2 linked regions of the Oryzias latipes genome follow. The protein of the gene in region 1 purifies or fractionates together with the protein of each later gene. This does not show direct contact. Links are inferred from orthologs where the notes say so. Each region holds a gene or a part of one and is shown on either strand. Other genes may lie near its edges.

Region 1 (3,652 bases):
AGTCAAAGGATACAGCGTTGATATAGCACCAGTTTCCTTTGTTGATCAGACCTCTTGGCTGCAAAGACACTGGTTTATGCATCAACTTCACATTCTCAATAATTTCTGAGGATTCAAACAAATACAGTGTTTGTCAATAGGTTGCTCCGCACATACTTGAAGTCATAACACAACACCTGCTTTGTAAAGTTTTTGAATAGTCAGAAATGTTCCTTTTTCTCTTCTCGCCTTAGGTGCAAAACCACCAGAGACTAAAAAAGAGCCAAAGATTTTTTTTGTACCACGCCTAGGAAGGGATACTGTAACTCAGGAACAGTTCCCATGGTAACGTGGATTGTCTCAGCCAAGTTACAATAACAGAAAGAAATAGGGAGAGTCTACTTTTAAAATGTGTATAAATATCTGAGCTGTGAAAGGTGATCACTGAAGAACATTTTTAAAATATAAACTATTGACTATCTTAATTAGGCAAATATCACTATACATTTATTGGCTTTTCACTATTGGTGACTATTTATAAAGCTGAATAGGAGATGTCAAAGAAAATGTTGAAAATTAGAACTCAATACCACCTTCGGAGGCTTTGTTAAACTAATTCATGTTGACCCTGGTTACAAGGCAGAAAATGTGTGTGTGTTTGTGACAAACATTTCAAACTATGCCATAACAAGCCTTGCTTCATGTCCAGCTTTGTATTTTTGAACACATCCTCGGTCTTGACACATGGCAATTCTAAAAATGGGTTATCTTTTAAAAAAAAATATGTTAAATATATGCAATTAACAATACGATAGCTTTCAGAAACCCAGCCACAACTGGAAATGTCATTAAAATAATAGTGCATGACTGCCATCTAGTGGCCACCTTTTCATGTCTACATTTTGTTGAAGGCCAGCGAGAGCAAAGCCTAAAAATAATTGAAATGTTTTTCTAGCTTGATGTAATATGAAAATACCTACTTCTCAGAAGATGAGCCCCGCTGTTTCACCTCCTAACATTAATTTTAATGTTATTACCTTAATGATTAAAATCCAAAGCATTACTAATAAAATGAGTAGAAATTGTACTAAAGTTTAAAACCTAAGATGAACAACAATAATGCAACAAAGATGAACCACAACTATATAGTACCTGCAAGTTTAGGAGCAAATGGGTCCTCTGATACATGTATTGGACCTTCTTTAACCTCCTCAACCTGTTCAGGTTCTTCTGGAACAGCAGGGGAGGGAGACACAACATCCACAACATGTTTTACCTCTACAAAGGCCGGAGGGCCCCCAGGAAGAGGCTTTGAGTTGTGAAATAGGCTTGCCCAAGATTTGGGAAGATTGGCAGTGGGTGCAGCTGAAACTGCAGGTAATTGTGCCTGCTCTGACACTACAGGCTGAGCATTAGAGTCTGGAGCTAGATGCTGACTCTGCTCCACAATTTCACAGTCTTCTTTGAGTCCACCTGTGCTAACAGGCGTACTAGTTTGTTCTAGTCCATTGGTAACCCCACTGTCTGCTTCCTCTCTCCTCTCTAGTTCAGTAGTCGTAATGGAAGTGATATCAGAGGGAGCAGCCACAGATTCTGAAGGAGGAAGAGGCGATTTGGAGCGGGGACTGTGTGGGGAGACTAAAAGTTCGGGGCTCTCAAAAGCCAAATGATCTTGCTGCTGATCTGCAGTCCTTGGTCCCTCTGTCATCCCTCTACTTTGAGAGGAGGATGAAGAGGAGGAAGTTGCATTGTTACCATCTGATAAAGAGGCAGTGGCACTTGTTAAGTCCAAAGAAGAGTCATCTGGGCTATCACAAGTCCTCTGATTAGCAGTGGTTGTGGGGGCAAACACAACATTTGTAGATGTTACCAAGGAGACAGGTCCAGGAGTGGAAAGTTCATCCCCTAAAAATGCCTTACTGTCTACATCCTCAGTACTGTTGTGAGGGCCTCCAAGTACATGCCCATTCACAAGTGTTGTCACTGACTGTCCATCGGCCACAATGGAGCCGCTGCCGTTTCCCCCTCCTAATGGGTCCAGGTAGTTGTAATATCCTGGTGGACGTTTTTTCTTTTTCTTTCGCTCTCTCTGACCCAGGCTTCCAGGTGCATCCATGTCTTGGCACACTTGGTGATTGTCCAAAGCCGAGGCTTCAAAATCTGGCCCATCCAGGGAGTTGAAATGGCTTCCATCAGGAACATCCGGTGCTGGAAGTGTCGTCTGCGGCGCCTTCTGAACTGACTGACAGCCCAAGATGAACTCCGGAGCCTGGGGGTTGAGAGTACTCGAAACCTTGTACAAAGGATCGTTCACCCCAATTGGCTTGGAGTCCATTACCTCGTCAACACCAAACTCAATGCGTTGATAGTCCTCTGCTGCAAAAAATACTTCAGTCAGTTAAAAAGATATAGCAATCTTAAATGTAGTCTAAGACTTAAAATTAGAAATCTTTATGTATAGATAGAAAAAATACAGATAATTTTAAACTCTCAGAGCAATGGAAATCTTTGCATCGTAAAATGCAAACTTTGTGGCACATTTCTTTGTGACTTTAAACAAACCTTAACATTAAGATTTGAGAAATAAGTAATACAATATACTTTAACAGCCAGAAAATATTCAGCAATTTGCCAATTTAATTCCAACATTTTTTTTTAATTGACCACATTGTCTCATTTCTGTGCTAAAAAGGTCAAATGTAATCTTTGCTGCAGATCTATGAATTATTAATTTAATTGATACTTCAGAAAAGCTTTTTTCCCCTCAAAATAACCAAAATCCTTTTTATGTTTCATCAATATTTGAAAACAAAATGACACAAGTAAAAGTACTCCATGTTTGGTTAAAATGTATTGCACAGCCGCTAAGTATGCATTATGCAGCAAGAGGTGCAAGAGTGAATAAACAGAAAACATTAGTAAGTAGGAATCAAAGATGTCGTTCAACTGATTTCAACTGATGCTTTAACCAATTAATACTGCAAACACTGATATTCTGCAGGAGTTAAGAGGGCGTTGTGGTTACTTCTTTATAATAGATTTAGAGGATAGTCTGTTAGTGTTACTGACATTGCATTATATTACAATTAATTTCATTCAACAATGCATGTTAGCAACCACAAAAAACAATTCTATGCCCCTAGCAAATGTGCTAAAACTATGAAGTTTGTTTATTTTATTTCAATATAAATCCTCTAGATGAGAAAAATGCCTTAAATGCAAAAGGATAAAGTGTTTTGAGCATGCAAAGCTCTGCAGATTTTTGAACAACAGGCAGGAAGAAGAGTAAAGATGCATAGATTTGAAAGCCACCAGCTTTGGAAACTTGGATTTTTAGTTGTAAAGACAATGTACATCAGCTAGTCAAGCCACAAGGTGTCAGACCCCTGAACTCACCGCAAACCTGCAGTCCCATTGACTCCATTATATAAGGTACAGCAGGAGTGCAGTAACTTCCTAAATAATCAATACAAATCAAGGAAAGGCAAATGTTATCTGAAAATCAATTCCACTAAAACACAGGTGGCTGTTAAGACATTTGTTAACCCAATATGAATAGATATATTTCCTGGAATGGTCACAAATCTTAAAGGCTTCTCTGGTCTAGTCTACCAGATTAAGATGGTGGCTGAACAAGAAGGACAAAAGAGCTATTTTTTTTATTCTAAAAATA
Region 2 (4,109 bases), on another chromosome or scaffold:
TGGCTTGCCTCCCAGAACAATTTAGTTCCTCATTACAACTTCTACAACAACAAAAATAACAAGAGTACCAGTAATAGAAAAAAAAAACTCTGACTATTTTAATATTTGCATTGTTTTAAGTGTCTTACAATAGTTAACAAAAGAGCAAAGTTAGTTGATTAAAGTTTCTTCCCACGTTGAGCCCTAAAAATGCATTGAGTTTTCCTTTTTATTCCACTTGTTTATCATGCCTGAATAAATGAAATAAGAGTCATTACCATTTGTTTTTAGAGCTGATGAGTTGAGTCGTGTGTGTTGGACCTTTTAGGACAGGGGTTCCCAAAGACAAACATCCTATTTCAATAACAAAAGTATCTTTTTTGTTCATGTTTTTAATATTGCTACTTATCCTAATATTAGATTTAAGAATGAAATAAATTAAATGAAATAAATCAATTAGTTTGATATTGGAAAATACCATTTGGATTGAGGCAAATGTGAGTTTATTTTACTATACCGTAAAAAGTGATCAAGTGTAATCACCATGGACAACACACATGTGATGGCAGCAAAAACCGATCAGTGCATCATTCCAGTTCAATGCATGGAAACACTTTGAGTTTTGCCATGTCATGTGACTATACAGTAGAATGTTCTAGTAATGTTCTGTTTGTATTATTTTGATGTAGATAAACAACAGTGGGCTGAACTTTGTTTGCACACATATTTAATTTACACTTGATTATCTTGCAAGAAATACAAGGAATCTGGAAAACTTCACCTGCACTGTTCAGTACCAGGTATTTATCTCTGAGTCTCACTGGTTGAATTTTTGGCTTAAGATCGATTTTAGGTCAGTGAATCGGACTATTTAAAATGAACCTATATCAACTATGAATCAAATCAGCAACCACAAATTAGGATACGAATCAAATAGTTACAGTGGAACTATGGTCATAGCTGTTGTTGTTGTCATCTAAAATGGAAATAAAAAATGGTGTCATGTTAATTTCATTTATGTTTTTTTATTTACTAACATTCTAGTTTGTCTGTTAAGATTAATCATGAATATTGATCTATTCCAGCCTGTCTTCAGTTATATGTGTATATTTTGGAAAGGGTCTATTTGCACGTCATTTTCGAAATAAGTGCGGCCAGCCCTGGGCTTTTTTTCTTGGCCACACAGACCTAGAACAGGGGTTAAGGTTAGGATTACAGTTGTGGGTTGGGTTAAACCACCAAATAGCTCCTGAGCGCGGCTGTTTTTGCACCTCACCGCTCCTCCAGGAGATGGATCAAAGGCAGAGAACATATTTTACACACCTAGGTGCATGACAGATAATGGGACTGTAACTTTAAGTTTCATTTTAAACACCTGGGGCCAACAACAAAATGCAACCTTGGACGCACTTAACCCTTGTGCTATCCTACGGGGTCAAGATGACCATTGACATGTTATCCCTACCGTGACAAAGGTGAATAAAAGTGGAAAGATTTCATGTAATCCATGGACACCGGAGAAGACCACAAATCATTGAAGAAAAAAAGGTTCAGCGCACTGTCTAGTGGGTCTAGACTCTAGATGACCCAACTCCCAATGTCAAAGTGCCTAGGATAGCACAAGGGTTAAAAGGCACCATTATGTATCTTGGCTGCAAGCATTACGTGTGGCCAACATAAATTTCCATAACTTTTTGTGCTTGTCACATAATCGTGTGTGGATAACATCAACCTTTTTTTATGTACACATCATGTACGATTCGGTGGAGAAATTAGTTTAAAAAATGTTTTAACTATGATTTTAATAGGCTCATTTAATGAATGTTTAGAGTTTTTTTTTTAATGTAGTTTATGTAACTTTTTAGGGAATTTTAGGATCAAACAAGTAAAATAGTTGGACATGCTCCCAAAGAAAAATATAGATATTTAGATAGATTTGTTTGTGTGCAAAAGAATCAATATTATTCTGATTAACAGATGCGCTTCCTGTCATATAAAATACATATCCTATGTTTGCCTTTGTCTGATGTTGGCATTAGCAGCCAAATGTGGCGTACAAAAACAGAATTATCATTAGAATCGTGTCTCACCTGAAGTCAGGGATGCCGGCTGAGGTGCTGATGCCAGCTCCAGTGTGGACGACCAGGTACTGAGATTCTTTAACCAACTCAGCAAGAGTCTGCACCTTCTCCTTCAGCTCTTCAGGACTGTCAAACTTCTGCCAGAAGACACAAACAAGTCCTTTTAGGAATGAGCACAAGCAATCATCCATGCATGTGTTGCTAAGATTGTTGGTCCCGAGATATGAATTCATGAATAGCTTCACGCTTTTATCTATTTATGTGACACGTTCGGCGGACAAAGCCATAGCTGAACGTTAGTACAGATTAGTAAAAGGCTGCTTTAAATCTATTATGAAGGAAAACAACAACTTTGCACCCATCAAATTTTGTGGATATATATGATACAACATCCCAACAAGAATAACTATATTTGAAACAATATAATTTATTATCTTGTTAAACCAGAGCTGGAATTTAAACTCACTAGAACGAATAAAAAAAATGTAAAGAGAGATTTTCAAACAAGGGGCTGGTCCTTAGCAAGTGTTTTGTTAGATAAAAGAGCAGAAGGATCACAACAGCAGGACAAAAACATCGCTCATGATGAGCTGCTAGCTCATTTAGCATGAAAAGCTCTTTAATGTAGTCAAAATTTACCTCAGGAAGGCCGCAGACCCCCTTATCTGCGTAAGGTGACAATCCGGCAGCATAATTTACTGACATGACTCTGGTAACTGTTGTCTTTGTTGTTATTTTCTGTTTGAAAAACAGTCCCAAACCCGAGTTTTAGGTTTGAACTGCGGCGTTTGGATGACGACATCAATGTGCGCCGGCATGTGATGCATTCAGAAACCATAGGGAACATCATTGATACGATTCACACCATACAGACACAGACTTAAAATAGTTTATTTTAGAATATGAATAAGTTTGAGTTTTGCATTCTTACATCTACATAAATAATAAAAAAGTAATAAATAAAAGATAAAGACTGACATGTTTGGTAGTTCAAAATTCCTATTTCCCTCCAACCTCTTGAACACACATGTTCAAGTTACTCTTTATAATTGAATTTTAAGGTATTATCAAAAGTTAAATAGCATGAGCAAACTAAATGCTGTTGTCTTCAGCTGGAACACTTTAAATGACTTCCTTAAAATAACAAAGCACAACAAAAAATTGGATTTCCGTTATGTGCAGTCATTCCAAGCACTTCAATGAATGTTTCTTTGAAATAAATCTTTATTTTAAATAGCTGGGGGGGAAAAAAGAGACATGTGAATAAAACACTTTAATCATTCATACAGCTACATCTGCATATTGGAAATTAATTGCTTGCCTCAACAGTTGTTTCAAATGAATTTTTATCCTGAGAAATTTAATTTATTTACTAAACTTACTTCAGACATTAAAGTTATCAATACTGCAGATTGGAAAAAAACTAAATCAAAAAACACCATCCATACTCTCAGAAAAACACCAACACCCGTCCAGAATCACCCAACAAAACAGAGAAGAAAATTAAAATAAAGAGGATCATTATTTCTTAACATTTTCATTTGCGGCGCAGAAAAACGTCAAGAATCTAGAATCAGACTACGTGCATGATTTTACCTAATAATCTCACAGGTGACACCATTCAGGTAAACTATGAAGGAATTTAAAAGAAAAATAAATTATAATGAATTTCAACCAAACCAACAGAACTACATCATTTTTCATAGGTTTTGGAGTCTTTATAATGCTGCTTTAGCTCTTTGGGTCCATCAGGTGTTTCGGAGTGATACTGTGTTTACAACTGGATGTCTTTAAAATAGCAATCAAGTATTTTGACTACGATTCAAACCTTTACTCCAAGTATGATTAGTTAACAAAACAATTGTTGCTTTTTCAAAAACGGCCCCACACTTCGAGAGCTCAAAAACATTTCAAATCCCCCACCAACTCAAACACTTTTCAATCTCCCCTTAATTCGAGGTTGTTTAAAAAAAAAAAAAAAAAGACACACCCAGAGTGACAGAGAAACACATTCAACACTAAACCAGAAAAAAACCACAAGATCAAAAA

The links. Proteins that work in one complex are often made in the same cells at the same time.
Region 2: the proteins of usp10 (region 1) and sirt6 purify together in Homo sapiens (affinity purification with western blotting; 4 studies listed by BioGRID, with this or other methods). This does not show direct contact. The link is inferred for Oryzias latipes from reciprocal best matches to the Homo sapiens genes USP10 and SIRT6.

The regions. Positions count from the first base shown.
Region 1 is NC_019861.2:21,045,657-21,049,308, forward strand, and holds part of usp10 (ubiquitin carboxyl-terminal hydrolase 10), read right to left. Parts: intron 3,436-3,652; coding exon 3,376-3,435; intron 2,356-3,375; coding exon 1,132-2,355; intron 106-1,131; coding exon 14-105; intron 1-13. UniProt on the Homo sapiens protein: Hydrolase that can remove conjugated ubiquitin from target proteins such as p53/TP53, RPS2/us5, RPS3/us3, RPS10/eS10, BECN1, SNX3 and CFTR.
Region 2 is NC_019875.2:22,338,190-22,342,298, reverse strand, and holds the start of sirt6 (NAD-dependent protein deacetylase sirtuin-6), read right to left. Parts: upstream 2,879-4,109; 5' UTR 2,766-2,878; coding exon 2,700-2,765; intron 2,198-2,699; coding exon 2,070-2,197; intron 1-2,069. UniProt on the Homo sapiens protein: NAD-dependent protein deacetylase, deacylase and mono-ADP-ribosyltransferase that plays an essential role in DNA damage repair, telomere maintenance, metabolic homeostasis, inflammation, tumorigenesis and aging.